Linked DNA regions of Stegostoma tigrinum. The protein of the gene in region 1 purifies or fractionates together with the protein of each later gene. This does not show direct contact. Links are inferred from orthologs where the notes say so. Each region holds a gene or a part of one and is shown on either strand. Other genes may lie near its edges.

Region 1 (8,642 bases):
GTGAATAAAGTCAGTCAGATTTCCTATCCCTGATCACCACCCCGCTGGGTGGATTTTATGAGGTTTAATTTTAAGTCAGGATGCTATTAGCTTTCAGCTATGATGTTAGATTTCTCAACATTGCCCAAACATAATGCAAAAACTAACAGTTGAGATATTGGAGAACTATTGGTTCTAACAGAATTATGCTCTAGCACAGGTTGTGGTTTTTGGAAGAAGGAAGAAAACAAATTTGATAAAATATCTGCTTAATATTTTTTGCAGTCAATTGAAATATTATATGAATTTTAAAAATATGCTGTTGAAATCCTACTTTTCAGTTATTAACAGAATAAGCGCTCTAATTTAAGAAAATATTATAAGGACATTGATTTTGCAAAATGCTAAGAAGGAGAATGTGTGGAAAAATTGTATGTTTTCAGCCTCAGCAACTCAAGTTGTGAAAATCTGATAAAGTTTATTGTTTTATACCAACACTGTAATGAATCAAGCTTATTTATGCTAATGGATACAGGCAATTATTCAGAAACGGCGATGTGCGAGTTCTGGAGGTGGCAGCTCTCTTTATTTCTGCAGACATCCCAATACATGCATAGTAATAAGAAATGCAATTTATAAGAAAAGTTAAACTTCTCTCTCTTGGTCTCACAACCAACTGGAATTTTCACGGGTGTTATAAAACTGGAACGTTTCTTGCATCAATGCTCCTGCAAATCTGCGCATTTTAAAAGCAACATCATTTATTTCATCAATAGTAAACTTTGGGCAATTGGGAACAATTTGCCAACTGTCAGAGAGAAAACAAAAGCTCCATATTATGGTGAGGTAAACTTTTCTCAAGCTTCTCTATCCACTGTCTCTCCTTCCCAAGCTTCCCCTTTCAGCTCCATTTGTGATACATGGGTGCTGCAAATCTCTTCATACTCTGTATTTGAATCACGCTCCAGTGGCTGTAAATCTTTCCAGCTCCACACTTTCATATGGCTAGGGCTGCTAATGGTCTCAGAATAGCCAGAAGACTAGAGGATTCACCCTCAATCTACTAGTGGCTATTAAATTCAATCCAGGAGATTTTTAAACATCAGGATTCCTTTAATTTACTCCCAACAATAACAGAGTTTACTTAACTGAAAGGTGATGTGCGCTTGCACTTGTCAGCAGTGTCTCACCTGGGCAGATTGAGAGGAAAAGCAGTGTTCAGTTTTCACCATGCATATGTCCTTTACTTCTAAGCCTATTCTTCAATAACACTGAATACCCTTGTTCTGAGTTCTCAATCTTGGTCACCCAGCAACTATGAATCTGCAATAGCCTATCAAATCATATCCATTGATTTTGATTTGCCTAGTCCTTTTGAAAGTGCTTTCTGCATTCAAATAAAGGAGTTTAAACTCTGATGTTTTAAACCTTATTACTAACTATGGATCTAATCTTGTTGCACTATTTTGCAAATATTTTCTACCCCTTCCCATCACATTTTGATTATTGTTCACCTCCTCACTGTCATGCACCTTTGCTCTCTTGACTCTAGTTGACTTTTCAATCTTCCTTTCAATTGAACACTCACCACTTCCCACGAATTAGTTTAAAGGCCTATCTACAGCCCTAGTTATACCATTTGCCCCAGCATTTTTCAAAAGAAGCCTGTGCCAATGGAACAGCTTTCACTTTCCAGTGAAAGTACCAGTGCCCCATGAATCAGAACTCGTTTCTCCTACATCAATCTTTGAGACACACATTTACCTCTAATGTTATTTACCCAGTGCCAATTTGCACACAGCACAGATAGTAGTCTGGAGATTGTTATCTCTGTGGTTAACTTTACCCTGAGCTGTTCTTATTTCCTCAGCAGAACACTTTCTTGGTCCTATCCATGTTGTTGGCCACAATAACTGGATCTTTTGTCACCTACTCCAAGTTTCTATCCAGACCAGAAGAGTTGTCCCAAACCTCAGCGCCAGGTAGGCAACACACCCTTCAGGAATGCCTGTCTTTGCTACAAAGAACAACATCAATTTGCCTAACTATGCTCCCCATATTACTACTACATTTTCTTTTCTCCTCCTACTTAAATGGTGCCCTGGACCAGTGATCAGTTCACTCATCCTTCTTGTACCCTGTCCAGACTAGCAGCAAGAACCTTGCATCTATTGGAAAAGCTCAGACTCTAGTGAATCGACTCATTGCTGAATTTCCTCAAGCTGTATTATATGGTGAGGGAGTAGTCTGGGACATTGTTCATAAACTATGATTCCTTGAGTATATGCCAGGCTGTTGCTCAGTCTCTAATTGTGGTACTAATCTGTTAGTGAAGGCGATTTTTCAGAGTTGAAGGGCTGAACTTGCTGTTGTCATTTCTAGAGCTTTTGTCAATGCTCAATGATCCATCCATTTTCATTCTTTTGTTCCCTTTTTGTCACTTTCTAGCAGTTGATAAATCTAAACATTACATCGTAGGACAGTTATGAGTCAGGTGGTTGTGGGTTTGGAGTTGCATGTAGGCCAGGCCAGGCAAGGATGGCAGATTTTCTTCCCCTAGGTGGTATTAATGAACTGCATGGGTGTTTTTCATGATCATCAACTGTGGTTTCAAGATCATCATTAAACGTTTAGTTCAAGATGATTATTGACTTCAAAATTTACCACTTGCCATGTTGGTATTTGAATCCCTGGTTCCCAGTTCTGAAGAAATGACAGGACTTAAAACATTAACTCTGTTTCTTTCTCCACAGATGCTGCCAGACCTGCTGAGCTTCTCTTACATTCTCTCTGTTTCCCCCAGAATATTACCTGCGTCTCTGGATTACCACCTCAGCAATAATTCCACTGTCCCATTGTCTCTTCACAAGCTCTTTTCCAGAAGGATACAGTTTTCCCTTCAGAGAGTGCAATAAAAGCTAAAGAGTTAATAAACATGATAAAGGCAGAATATATCCCAGTTCTGTTGTACAAAGTGCAACTAGGAAGTGAATTGTTATCTAGAACATTCATAGAAGGAGCCATGAACAGAGTTGACTTTCTCCTGTGATCAGAGTGAAATTTATACCTTTGCCAAGAATCACAGTACATCCAATTGAGATTAGGTAGATAAAACAGCTACAGAAACAGGTTCCAGATATTTTTCCATCAAGTGGTGACCAGCACAATACTAGCCAAAATCCATCACCAGAGGATAAAGTAAGTGCAATCAAGTTACAGTAACTGAAGCTGTCTTTAAGGGTGGGGTGATTCAAAAGAAGTGTTTAAGACCATAGACATAAGAGCAGAAGCGGGCCATTCAGCCTATTGAGTCTGCTTTGCCATTCATTGAAATCATGCCTGATTTGATAAACTTAAACTTCATTTTCCTGTCTTTTCCTCATAACCCTTGATTTCCTGAAACTCTACCTATTTCAACCTTGAATCTACTTAACGATCCAGCCTCGACAGCCATCTGCAATAAAGAATTCCACAGATTCATAATGCTCTGAGAGGAGAAATCCTTCCTCATCTTTGTCTTAAATATGCATCCCTTATTCTGAGACCTAGGTCAAGGATCAACTACCAATTGAAAAATGAACAATGCTTTACATCAACAGTGTCATCACTCCTAAAAATAAAAGGATCTATAGGAAATTATTTAACATGCTGGGGCTCTGGCTGTTTGATCTTCAGATTTTATTCCCTGTTTACATGTTTTTCCAGGCATGTGCCAAACCATCTGTCTTTTGTTTGTCTAAATTATGAATAAGACTGTTAATTTTTAGCTTTTTAAAAGGGTATTGTTTAAGACGTATTGCAGCAGATTAGGGACTCTCTCCTATTTGTTAAAGTTAATGGAGTTGCAACAAATAGACAAGTATTTCCTATTAATGATGAAACCGGGTGAGAATTACTTTTGATCTGAATACAGCCAGTTCAGCAACTTGATCATTTTCGTGGGCTAATTTACATTTTACAGATTTTGGTGATGGCTTGCAGAATTGCAGAACATAATCAACAGCACATTATTCCCAATTAAGTCATGACATCATGTTTATCATCACCAATTGGTAATCTTCATAAAGGGGCTGGAGACCGCTGCCAATATGTATAACTATCATATGATGTGTGCCTTTCTCTACTCAACTGACGAAGGAGCAGCAATGTGAAAGTTTACGCTTTCAAATGAACCTGTTGTACTACAACCTGGTGTTGTGTGACTTCTGACCTCAGATCTCGGCTCCTTTTGACAGATGTGTGCTGGAATCCATACAAGTGCAAACCTATAAACATTTGTTAAGTATTTACGCTGTTTACAAAGAAATGGCTGAGAATTTTTTTCCCTCAGATCCCATTTCTATGTGATCTAAAGTGGACTGACACTGCTACTCTGGCAATGGCAACTATTTGTTCCTTCTGAGCACTTGTCAAAAAAGGACATCATTATTCACTTTTTGAGCTATTGGTGCTTTACAAATTGTTTTATGCTCGACATTAAGACACTAATGGGGTTTATGAACCAATTTTCAACTTGTTTTGTAGGGGAACGGCAATAAAATAAAAATTAAAGCAAAATGTTATGGATGCTGGAAATGGAAAAGAAAATTAGAAAGTGTTGGAGAAATTCGGCAAAACCAGCAGCATCTGTGGTCAGAGAAACATAACGTGAAAGGACTTCTGAAATCACACTGGCCTGGAAAGATTTGAGATAGTAGGAACTGCAGATGCTGGAGAATCTGAGATAACAAGGTGTGGTAATAAAATGTGAGGCTGGATGAACACAAAAGGCCCAGCAGCATTGCTCCTGAGATGCTGCTGGGCCTGCTGTGTTCATCCAGCCTCATATTTTATTATCTTGGATTCTCCAGCATCTGCAGTTCCCATCATCACTTTCACAAGGTGTGGGGCTGGATGAACACAGCAGGCCAAGCAGCATCAGAGGAGCAGGAGATTTGACTTTGTTTACATTTCTCTCTCTCTCCACAGGTGCTGCCAGACGTGCTGGGTTTCTCCAGCACACCCTATTTATGTTTTTTTAAAAGCAATTATTTTTGCAGCTCGACTCTTAAGTTAGGAGATGATATGGGTTTTGATTTTGGGGCAACCTCGTCTAACAGTGAACTTTGCTGCAGGCAGCCTGCATTGCAACTGCTGGGGGAGCTCGGACCTGGGGCAGGATCCGGGGGCGTGGTCGGAAGCTGGCCCCGCCCCCCGCCTCGTGGCGCGCATTGTTTCCGGTTCAGCTGGGTGACAGCGCAGCTTGGCGACGGGCGGACATCTTGAAGCTTCAATTGGTGTTCGGAGGACGGAGTCGATCTGGCGGGGGCCCCCTTCTCGACCGGAGACTGGACTTTCATTTCAGCCGAGTGACCGCGGGGAGGTGGGTGCTTACGCTTCTCTTTCTCGCTTTCTACATTCCCCCCCCCCCCCACCCACCATTGTCCGCCTGCTGAAAGTTAATTTTTCTGCCGTGGCCGGAAGTTGAGATCGAGTGAGCTGGGAGTCAGGAGTCTGAGGTCTGGGGTGTGCGGTGGGGGTTGAGCCCTTTCCCGGGGCGCGCGCGCACACGCAGTCGCTGCCCTCTATCTACCCGGCCTCTGGGGCCAGGACCTTACCCAACCTGGGCCTCCAGGACCCCGAGCAGGTGTAGGAGACTGTGAGCCGCCCCCTTCCCTCTCTCCCGCCCCTCGGGCAGACATGGCAAACCGGACGCATTTCACTGTTAAAATTTAATATTTTTTGTAAATCGTGCGTGTTCCCTTAATAACACAGTCATTCCCTTTTAAATAGCGCCCTTATCTTCACCACATTCTCCCACCCCCAACTGTTTCTTCCTACGGTCTCCCTGATTGTGATTAATACAGACTTGTGTTTAAGTCCTGTCTCAAAGCTCTTGGCCCGGCGAATGTCTTTGAAGTGCAATCGCTGTTGTGCTGGCAAACGTCAAGTAGAATCACAGTGCAGATAGAAGCCATTCTGCCCATCCAGTCTCCACCGGCCATCTGAAATGCTGCATTGACTAAATGACCAGAAACAAGGAATTGGGTCGTCATGCTGATGGGCAAGCTCCGTTTCCTCTTCAGCATTGAAATTTAACTGAGCTCAGTTTGCCCTGGCCGGGTAGTGACAGGAAAATTCTGATCTCCTTGACTCCACATCGATTGCTGTTTTGGTGTTAGGTTCAATTTGTGCTTGTAGCAAATGACAATCCTGGATCTTCTCGGTTTGAAATTGTTTGTTTTGTCTCTTTTAAGAAACAAAGTCTTCATTACTAAGGTCTGAAGCTGTTTTGTTCATAAATGGATATGACTGTTTTGTATGCACTCAATGTCAACTTTAAAATAGAGTTCAACTACTTTAATATACTTGCCTATGGGTAATTTCGGGCAATATTTGTCTAATGCAAAATATGCAGGAACCAAATTGGGTAGCTTGTTTCGATGATGTGATAGGTTGAATGGTTCTGAAACATTCAAATACTTATTACACTGTCCTTTATAGTACAGATGCAGGCTGTTCAGTTTAATGTGTTTATTCAAGTGTTTATGCTCCATGCAAACCACTTCCCACCCAATGTATTATTTGCATTTTGTGACTTTGTTGACCTGTTTCTACTTTTATTGATTTGTTTGTATCCCTACCCCACTTAAGATAATTTTCCAAGGGAAATGTGACTTGTTTATGTCTACTACCAGAGTACAACACCCCTCTCATATTTTGAAATTACTTTGCCATTTACACATCTATTCTACAGATTTTTTGAGCTTGTTTTTTATTTTGGTGTAATCTTTCTTGCTATTAGCCATATCTCCCAAAAAGGTATCTGCAAGTTTTGATAATGCAATTCTGATTCTTTTCATTCTTCGATAATTTTTGCATTCATGTACAGAAATGGTCCCTATACCAATCCCTATGGAGGACCACTACCATAAGATCAAATATAGACCATTTGGTCCATGAGGTCCTGTTTGTCATTCATTGCAATCATGGCTGATCTGATATCGTAACTCCACCTTCCTTATCCCTATAAATCCTTAATTCCATTACTAATTATAAATATGTCCATCTCAACCTTTAATATACTTAATTACCCAGCTTTGACAGCCCACCACAGCAAAGAATTTCACAAATTGACTACTGTCCTGGAGAAAAGTTTTCTCCTCATCTCTGTCTTAAATGGACAACCCTTACTCTAAGATTGTACCCTCTGGTCCTAGATTCCCTCACCTTGATAGTCTGTAACTCCTTTGAATACTTTTTGGTTTATATTCAGTTTTCGATTTGTTCTGCTACTTGTCCCCAGAATCTGCATGCTAGCCTGCAGGCATAAGCCTCTTATTTACCTAAATGAAAGGTAGTTTGAAAGTCTATCTAATATTGCACCTGCTGAATTAACTTTACTCTTGCATTTTATGACTTCAAAGAACTCTGTAAACTGACTGATGTGTGTGCAGTTTCTAGATGGTTGGCATTCACACTTGAGTAAATATTCCACTTTTTAACGATTAATTTTTAGTTAACTTCACAATAACTCCTTATTTGTTCTATCGCCCTTTTGAATACAGGAATAATATTGATTGTCCATTTATTTTCCTGACCTGGTTTGCTATTCTATGGATTTTATTTTGAATCTGCCAGCTCTTAGTTCTCTTTTAACTGTGTGGATGTAGTTAATTTTGAACAAAAATTAATCATTTCTAAATTTAATTAGTCCAACAATTATCTTTCTCCATCCTAATTATCTGTTTTTGCTTTGGATTTCATTTTAATGCTATATCTGTCAGAATGTCATACAGCACGGAAACAGATACTTTGGTCCAACGCGTCCATGCCGACCAAGTTTCCCAAAATAAACTAGTCCCATTTGCCTCTAATTGGCCCGTACCATCTCTAAATCATTCCTATTCATGTACCTGTCCAAATGTCTTTTAAATTTTGTAACTACATCTGTATCTGCCACTTCCTCTGCTAGCTTATTCCATATGCGCACCACCCTCTTTGTGAAAACGTTGCTCCTCCAGTCCATCTTAAATCTTTCCCCTGTCACCTTTAAGTTAAGCCTCCAGTTTTGAAGTTTCCAACGCCAGGGAAAGCACCTTGCTATTCATTTTATACTCAGTTTGTAAGCCTCTAAGGTCACCCCTCAACCTCCTTTGTTATTCATTCTGGTAAAAACTAAGGAAAATTAACTATCATGGCTTCTTCCATTTCTTTACACTAATTTGCACTGAGATTCAATCACCAATTGGCTCTGCTCGCTGAGCTACTTCTATTCCCAGTCCAGCTATGGGACTTGTAATTTCAAAATTCTCCTCCTTATTCTCTTGTCTCTGCGTGGCATTACCTTTCTCAACAGCTAGCCTCCCCACATGTTGAGATTTTTGAATGCATCCACTTGTGCTCTTTGATTTCCTCAATTTTAATTCCTCTACCTTCAGTCATTGAGCTTTCAGTTTCCTAAGCCTTGAACTTTGGAATTCCTCCTTATAGAATCCTTACAGTGCAGAAAAAGGCAATTTGAGCAATTAAGTTTGGAACGACCCTCCAGAAAGCATCTCACCCGGACCCACTTTCCCATCCTGTCCCTGTAACCCTGCATCTACCATGGCTAATTCAATTAGCCTGCACATTCCTGGTCTGAGGGAGGAAACCAGACATCCAGCAGAAACCCACACAGACAT
Region 2 (8,610 bases), on another chromosome or scaffold:
TGATGAAGGGTCTAGGCCCGAAACGTCAGCTTTTGTGCTCCTGAGATGCTGCTTGGCCTGCTGTGTTCATCCAGCCTCACATTTTATTATCTTGGAATCTCCAGCATCTGCAGTTCCCATTATCTCTGCTGGAAAAGATCAGCAGGTCTGGCATCATCTGTGAAGGAAAAGACATAGTTAACATTTGGGTCTGATGAATCTTCCTCAGAACTGTGTGTGTAATTAATTTAGAGATAACAAGGTGTAGGGCCGGATGAACACAGCAGGCCAAGCAGCGTCAGGGGAGCAGGAAGGCTGACGTTTCAGGCCGAGACCCTTCTTCAGAAATGGGAGAGGGCAAGGGGGTTCTGAAATAAATAGGGAGAGGGGGGAAGTGGATAGAAAATGGATAGAGGAGAAGATAGGTGGAGAGGAGACAGACAAATCAAAGAGGCAGGGATGTCGCCGGTAAAGGTGGTGAACCAGTAGGTGGGGAGGTAGGGAGGAGGTAGGTCAGCCCAGGGAGGATGGACAGGTCAAGGGGGCAGGATGAATTTGGTAGGCAGGAGATGCAGGTGGGACTTGAGGTGGGAGGAGGGGATAGGTGGAAGCAAGGACAGGTTAGGGAGGGTTGACGAGTTGGGCTGGTTTTGGAATGTGGTAGGGGGAGGGGAGATTTTGAAGCTTGTTAAGTCCACATTGATACCATTGGGCTGCAGGGTTCCCAAGCGGAATATGAGTTGCTGTTCCTGCAACCTTCGGGTAGCATCATTGTGGCACTGCAGGGGCCCCAAGATGGACAAGTCGTCTGAGGAATGGGAGGGGGAGTTAAAATGGTTCGCAACTGGGAGGTGCAGTTGTTTAGTGCTACCCGAGCATAGGTGTTCTGCAAAGACGTCCCCCGACCTCTTCATCTCCGCCTGCTGCTGAGAAATCAATCGTCTCAACCCCTCCATCCTTCTCACCCACTCCAACCTCTCCCCCACAGAACATGCAGCCCTCTGCTCCCTCAGCTCCAATCCTAACCTCACCACAAAACCCGAGGACAAGGGAGGCGCAGTCGTAGTATGGCACACTGACCTCGAGGTCAGACGCTAACTCTCTGACACCTCCTCCCACCGGCCCCTTGATCATGACCCCACCCCCAGCCACCAAATTATTATCTCCCAAACCATCCATAACATCATCACCTCAGGTGACCTCCCACTCACATCCTCTAACCGCATTGTTCCCCAAACGGGCACTGCACGCTTCTGTCTCCTTCCCAAAATCTACAAACCTGGCTGCTCTGGTTGACCCATTGTCACTGCCTGCTCCTTCTCCACCGAATTTATCTCGACTCCATTTTCTCCCCCTTAGTCCAGGAACTCCCTACCTATGTCCGTGACACCACCCATGCCCTTCACCTCCTCCAGAACTTCCAATTCCCCCGTCCCCAACACCTCATCATTACCATGGATGCCCAGTCCCTATACAACTGCATTCCCCATACAGATGACCTAAAGGCCCTCCGCTACTTCCTGTCCCGCAGGCCTGACCAGTCCCCCTCCACTGACACCCTCATCCGCTTGGCCAAACATGTCCTCACCCTTAACAGCTTCTCTTTCAATTCCTCCCACTTCCTACAGACAAAGGGGGTGGCCATGGGTACCCGCACGGGCACAAGCTATGCCTGCCTCTCTGTCTCCACCTCTGGCAACCACATAGAAACCAATATCCATTTCAAGCCCACCGACTCGCACGGCTATCTAGAATACACCTCCTCTCACCCACCTTCCCGCAAAATTGCCATCCCCTATTCCCAATTCCTAGGCCTCCGCTGCATCTGCACCCAGGATGAGGTATTCTACTCCCGTACATCTCAGATGTCCTAGTTTTTCAAAGACCGCAACTTCCCCCCAACAGTGGTTGAGAACGCCCTCGACTGTGTCTCCCACATTTCCCACAACTCGTCCCTCAAACCCCCTCCCCGCACTAACAACCAAAACAGAATCCCCCTCATCCTCATGTACCACCCCACCAATCTCTGGATCCAATGCATCATCCTCCGAAACTTCTGCCATCTGCAATCCGACTCCACCACCAAAGACATTGTTCCCTGACCACCTTTATCTGCTTTTTGGAGGGACCACTCTCTCCAAGACTCCCTTGTCTGCTCCAGATTCCCCTCCAGCCCTACCACACCCGGCACTTTTCCCTGTACCGCAGGAAGTGCTACACATGCCCCTACACCTCCCTGTTCACCCCCACCCCAGGCCCCAAGAAGACTTTCCACATTAAGCAGATGTTCACTTGGACATCCGCTAATGTGGTATGCTGTATCCGATGTTCCCATTGTAGCCTCCTCTACATCAGGGAAACCAAGCGGAAGCTTGGGGACCACTTTGCAGAACACCTATGCTCAGTTCGCACTCAACAACTGCACCTCCCAGTTGCAAACCATTTCAGCTCCCCCTCCCATTCTGCAGATGACATGTCCATATTGGGCTTCCTGCAGTGCCACAGCGATGCTACCCAAGGATTGCAGGAACAGCAACTCATATTCCACTTGGTAACCTTACAGCCCAATGGTATTAATGTGGACTTCACAAGCTTCAAAATCTCCCCTCCCCCACCACATTCCAAAACCAGCCCAGCTCATCCCCGCCTCCCTAACCTGTCCTTCCTTCCACCTATACCCTCCTCCCACCTCAAGTCCCACCCCCACCTCCTACCTACTAACCTCATCCTGCCCCCTGGACCTATCCATCCTCCCTGGACTGACCTATCTCCTCCCTACCTCCCCACCTACACCCACCTTTACTGGCTCCATCCCTGCCTCTTTGATCTGTCTGTGTCCTCTCCACCTATCTTCTCCTCTATCCGCCTCCCCCTCTCTCCCTATTTATTTCAGAATCCCTTTCCCCTCCCCCATTTCTGAAGAAAGGTCTTGGCCTGAAAGGTCAGCCTTCCTGCTCCTCTGACGCTGTTTTGCCTGCTGTGTTCATCCAGCTCTACACCTTGTTATCTCAGATTCTCCAGTATCTGCAGTTCCTGTTACCCATGTAATTAATTTATTTTATTTTATTTGGGATACCCTGTGCATTAAAGAGCCCCACTTGACCCTATTTACTGCTGTTTTTCTATGTTTCTACAATCTAACTCTTCCTGACCCAGTCTAGGTATCATCATCCAAAAAGCTGCCTCTAATGCTGTCACATCCCCTTGCTTTATAAGCCCACATTTCCCCTCTCCCAACCCTACCCTCACAAGTTAGTTTAAATGCTGCCTTTGCTAATGCCACCATATCCTATGAAAGAATTTAAAAAAAATGATTTGTGGGGGTGTACTCAATGAGGCAGGGGTACTTTTAATAGGGTGTTGAACAGTTGGCTGATGTGAGGTGGGAGCTCTTATGGAGTATAAGCATTGGCATGGTTGATCTAAATAGATTGTATCTTTGTAGCAGATTCTATATTTGCCATGTAATCCCTGTTTGCCACTGAATCCCTTTCTGTGAGGGCACTATAGGGCTTAGACAGTCAACATCCCAACATCCCAGTCAACATGATTTTTTAAGTTTTTGTTTGTATCATTTTGCTCTACTGTAAATAGTTATAATTATTTATTACTAATGATGCCTTTGGGGCATGAGCTTTTATAGCTCACGTCCCTAATTGGAAACATTGGGGAATGTAATACCTGTACTCCTGAGGTACAGGAACTTGTACTTAAACAGCAATTTTAATATAGTGAGACATCCTTAAGGCAAAGTGTTGTCATTGCACCTCATAAACAATTCATGAGAGACACAAGCAAAAGCTTAACAGAGAACTAGGTTTCAAATGATATATTAAAGGATGAAGAAGAGATGGAGAAGCAGACGTTTAGAGACAGAATATTCTGAAGCTTAAAGACGAGGCAGCTGATGACATGACAACCAAGGCCAGAATGACTCAAACCAAAGATTAATATCAAGGACGCCCCAGAGAACAAACTTAGTTGAATAGTAAGACATGGGCAGAGGGTTTCAGATGACTTCAAGTTTACAGAGGATTGAAAACAGGAGGCCAGGCAGAATATTGGGGCAATAGGCAGATATAGAGGTGATAAAGGGATAGATGAGGCTCTCAGCAGGGTCAGTAGGTGAGTCCGGATGGGATACTCCTCAGAAGGCTGGTGTGGACTCGATGGGCCAAATGGCCTGCTTCCACGTGGTACAGAAAAAAATAACTTGAATGGTGTTTTGGAGACAGATAGGCAATGCTTGTGGAGATAATTTAAATATGTATACACATATATATTTAGCACATCTTAATTCTAGGTGTTGGAAATGTTGCATATATACTGTAGATTGTATTACTACTTGAACATTCCATAGTACAGTTTGTTGTTGTTTGTTCAAACCTGTGGAACCTTGAGGCTTTACTCTCTTAATAATTCGCTTAGATCTCACTTCTTTTAACTTTAAAATTAAAGGTTACTCGTCCTTAATCAGACTATAACATTCCTGGTCTAGGTTCATAACAAAACAGAAATTCTATGGGGAATTGGAGAATTTTGGTGAAGAAACAGAATTAATGATGAGCAAGTGGAGTTTTTGGTGACAAACTGGATATTTTTGGAGAGGGTGTGAAAGTTTGGATAGGGTGGAGGTTTTGGTGATAGAGATTTTCGTGAGGGAATGGATGCTCTGGTGAGAAAGTGGGGTTGATGGTGACGGAGAGAATGTTTCTGGAGAGAGGTTGTAGATTTGATGGAGGTGTTGGGGGGGGTGAAGATTTTGGTGAGGGATGGAATTTCTGATGATGAAATGGGCATTTTGGTCATGAAGTGAATATTTTGCTGAGGTTGAAGTTTTTGGTGAGGAACTGTAGATTTTGCTGGAGGGAGTTGGATATTCCTTACGGTGGAGTGGAGATTTTTTTTCAGGAAGTGGCCATTTTTGATTAGGGTGCATGTCTTGTGATGTAGGGGTGGAGAACTTGTTCAATGAGTTGAGGTTTTGCCTGAGGAAAACTGATGTTGTGCTGTGGGAGTGAGTATTTTACTGACTGAGAGATGGTGTTGCCAACCGATTTCAGGTTTCGCTGAGTGAGAGAGGCTTTGCTAAGTGACGGTTATGTTCAGGGAGAGAAAGATTTGCTGAGGGAGTGAAGTTTTGCTCAATTACTTCCACGGCCCACACAACATTAACTTGCTTCCCTCCCCTGCAGGGCGGGGCCAACAGTTGATTGACAGCCCCCCGCTCGTGGTCGCAGCCAATCGGCGTGTCAGGAATTGGGGCGTGGCACACCAAGGAGATAGATGTGGAAACTGTCCAATTATAGCCGCAATTGTCGCCGCGGGGCACCGATTGACGTGGAATCTAGCCACTCACCGCGCAGAGATCCGGGCAACGCCTCCGCCTGTCTACCAATGACGAGAGAGAAGGCGTGCTTGAGGCGGGTCTAATGCGGAGAGCGGGTCCCGGGCGGTAACGGCCGGAGAGAGGGCGAAGGTGAGGGGGAGCCGAGAAGCTGGCACGGTGGCGATGGATGGGAGTGGGGTTCCCGGGTTCTGTGGGGATGCTGCAGTCTCAGGGTTTTGGGTGTTGTCGGAAGGCGGGTGGGAAACAGCTGGAACCCGAGGCCTGTCCGAGAGTGCGACCCAGAACGTCTTCCTCACCCGTCCCCCTATCATCCACTAAAATCCACTTCTTCCCAAACCCCCCCCCCCACCCATCCTCCCCCCTATCCGCTCCCTTGCCCCTATCCGCTCCCTTGCCCCTATCCACTCCCCCAGCCCCTATCCACTCCCCCAGGGCCATCCAGTCCCCCAGCCTCTATCCTCTCCCTCACCCCACCAGCCCCCATGCTCTTGCAGTCCTCACCGCCCATCCTCTTTCACTCCCCCCAGCCATCTGCCCCTCCTCCCCAGCCCCCTTCCTCTCCCTCATCTCTCCAGCCCCTATCCTCTCCACTCGCCTTCCCCTCCTCGCTGCCCCCCTTTCCCCAGCAGCCCACGTCCAGCCCCACCAGACCCCTGCCCCCACCCCTCAGCCCTGTTCCCAGCCCATAAATGTGTAGGTTAGATGGATTGGCTGTGCTGTAATTGTCATAGTGTCCAGGGATGTGCAAGCTGGGTTATAGGAGTAGAGTTGGCTAGAAAGGATGCTCTTCAAAGGGCTGTTGTTGACTCGATTGGCCAACTGACCTCTTTCTGCACTGAAGGGAGTCTGTGATTCCCTCCTAATCCACAAACACTGCTACCTCTCTGTGTCTGTGTCTGTCTCTCAGGATTAGGTCTTGAAAAATTTAAAACTGTCATGTTTCATTAACACTTGGCAGCTCCTTTGAATTCAGAAATTTGTTTAATGAAATTGATTCATCATCCTCAGCAGTTTGTTTTCTAGTTTTGGTGTTTTGCTTGAAGCTTGTGACTAGTTCATATGACTGCCAGATTTGCGGGCGTTTTGTTGGCTGATTGTAATAATTGCTTTGACACTAACTGAATGGAAATCTGAGTGTGGATCAGGCCAGAGGTCTTTCAATACTGCAGCAATACTGAGGGTTTTTTAAAGAATTGAGCATGTCATCAGTTCTAGGTCACATTAAAAGTTGGCACTTGCACTGTTTTGTTGACTTATTTAAAGAGTTTGGTTTTATGGGTTAATCATTTGGCATTATTTCAAGATCTAAAGCTTACTGTTTTCCTTTTCTGTAAGGTCAAGTTAAGAAATTTTCTTGAATTTGCAAAGTAGCTTATGTTGACGGTGTGCCTGCTGGCTTCACAAGTTATGAAGGTGAAATGTTGGAAAAGGTGCCATTTGCCATAGCCTGGGAGCCACCTTGATGAGTTTCAACACCGACACTCTTCATCCTCTTAAGTGTGACAGCTGAACAGACTGAGATGCATTTGAGAACCAGGATCTCAAACCTAGGAATAAGATCTCATCTGGTCATGAAGTGATTCTTGGTATTTCATTTAGGATAATGCAGTTCTAATATTTTTAAGTAACCTGCTCAGACCTCCTTCTTGCCCAGGGATAGGGATAGTACCAGTGTCACAAGATGATCTGCAACAGAAAATATTCATTAGTTTGATATGCAACTGGCCAGCGAGTTCCAAATGGTTAATAAAAGCCCAAAAAACTGCGGATGCTGTAAATCAGTAACAAAAACAAAGTTGCTGGAAAAGCGCAGCAGGTCTGGCAGCATCTGTGAAGGAAAAGACAGAGTTAACGTTTTGGGTCTGATGACCCTTCCAGTTCTGAGGAAGGATCATCTGACCTGAAATGTTAACTCTATTTTTTCATTCTTTGGTGGCCTCTTAAGTGGGCATTAAAGATTCCATGCCACTATTTTTGAAGATTGGGGGATTTCTGGCTAATATTTACCCCTCCACACCAAAAGGTACCAGTTGGAATCCTGTTGCTGTTTGTAGGAGTTTCCTACATGTCAGTTGGCTGCATGTTTCCTAAGTCATGGGAATTAATACAATTTAAGAATATTGCATTACTGGTGAAATGCTTTGGAAATCTTGAGGATGTGACAAATGAGTATATAAATGTAAGTCTTTTATGGAAGATAAATGAATCTTGTGTATGCTGTGGAGATGTCAGATTTGCAAATAATGTTTGTGGCTCATCAGTGTGATATACGTTACTTCTAATTTTTTTTTCTAGCTGCACAGCGTTCCAAGGTCCTTGTGTTGCAGTGACTTACGGAACCAGAAATCGGTGTGCAATCAGCATGCCTGTGCTGATTGCTATGCATGCAATCTTGGAACTGCTGCATGGTGAACCACACAGCATTATGTTCAAAAGGAAATCCAAGAATTTAAAGCAATTCTTTGTGACTTTCAACAAGGTGCACCGCAACATCTCACCAAAGCTCCTTAAGCAACATCATCTCATACCTACACCTGAAGGACTGCAGCGGTTCAAGAAGGCTCTTCACCAAGGGAGCAGGAAAGTTCACATTTCGGGTCAGGGCCTTTTATTCTGAAGGAGGGTCCCGACCCAAAGCGTCAACTTTTCTGCTCCTCTGATGCTGCTTGGCCTGCTGTGTTCTTCCAGCTCCGTTCTATGTCGTCTCTAACTTCAGCATCTGTAGTTCTTGCTATCTCCAGGCTATTCACCATCACCGTTTTTAAAGGCAGTTAGGAATGGGCAATAAATATTCGCCATGCTAATGATGTCCACGTTCCATCAATGACTAAATATAAAAACCTTGCATAGAGCTGCTGTAGCAAATGGGATAGATGTCCTTTAAGATTAAGTCATATAAACCTAAGAGAGAAAGGAATCTAAAGATGTAAAGTAGGAGGTTCAAATTGGTCAAAACACTAGCTTAGACTTGTTGACCTGACTGATTTTGGTTTCATTCTGTTCATTCAGTATAATTAGTTATCATGGAAAAATAAATCAAAGTAATGTCATCTGCTAAATCTTCAATTTTCTTCTAACAGATGCAGTTTATGCTGCTTTTTAGTCGTCAGGGGAAACTTCGATTGCAAAAATGGTATGTCCCCCTCTCAGACAAAGAGAAGAAAAAAATTACAAGAGAACTTGTCCAAACAGTCCTTGCTCGCAAACCCAAGATGTGCAGCTTTCTGGAGTGGAGAGACCTAAAGATTGTATATAAAAGGTTGGCATTCTGGCATTCACTT

Evidence for each region.
Region 2: the proteins of ap1b1 (region 1) and AP-1 complex subunit sigma-2 purify together in Homo sapiens (affinity purification with mass spectrometry; 5 studies listed by BioGRID and IntAct, counting the BioPlex papers as one, with this or other methods). This does not show direct contact. The link is inferred for Stegostoma tigrinum from reciprocal best matches to the Homo sapiens genes AP1B1 and AP1S2.

Annotation. Positions count from the first base shown.
Region 1 is NC_081379.1:21,050,737-21,059,378, forward strand, and holds the start of ap1b1 (AP-1 complex subunit beta-1), read left to right. Parts: upstream 1-5,197; 5' UTR 5,198-5,341; intron 5,342-8,642. UniProt on the Homo sapiens protein: Subunit of clathrin-associated adaptor protein complex 1 that plays a role in protein sorting in the late-Golgi/trans-Golgi network (TGN) and/or endosomes.
Region 2 is NC_081365.1:79,275,719-79,284,328, forward strand, and holds the start of AP-1 complex subunit sigma-2, read left to right. Parts: upstream 1-5,384; 5' UTR 5,385-5,458; intron 5,459-8,409; coding exon 8,410-8,588; intron 8,589-8,610. UniProt on the Homo sapiens protein: Subunit of clathrin-associated adaptor protein complex 1 that plays a role in protein sorting in the late-Golgi/trans-Golgi network (TGN) and/or endosomes.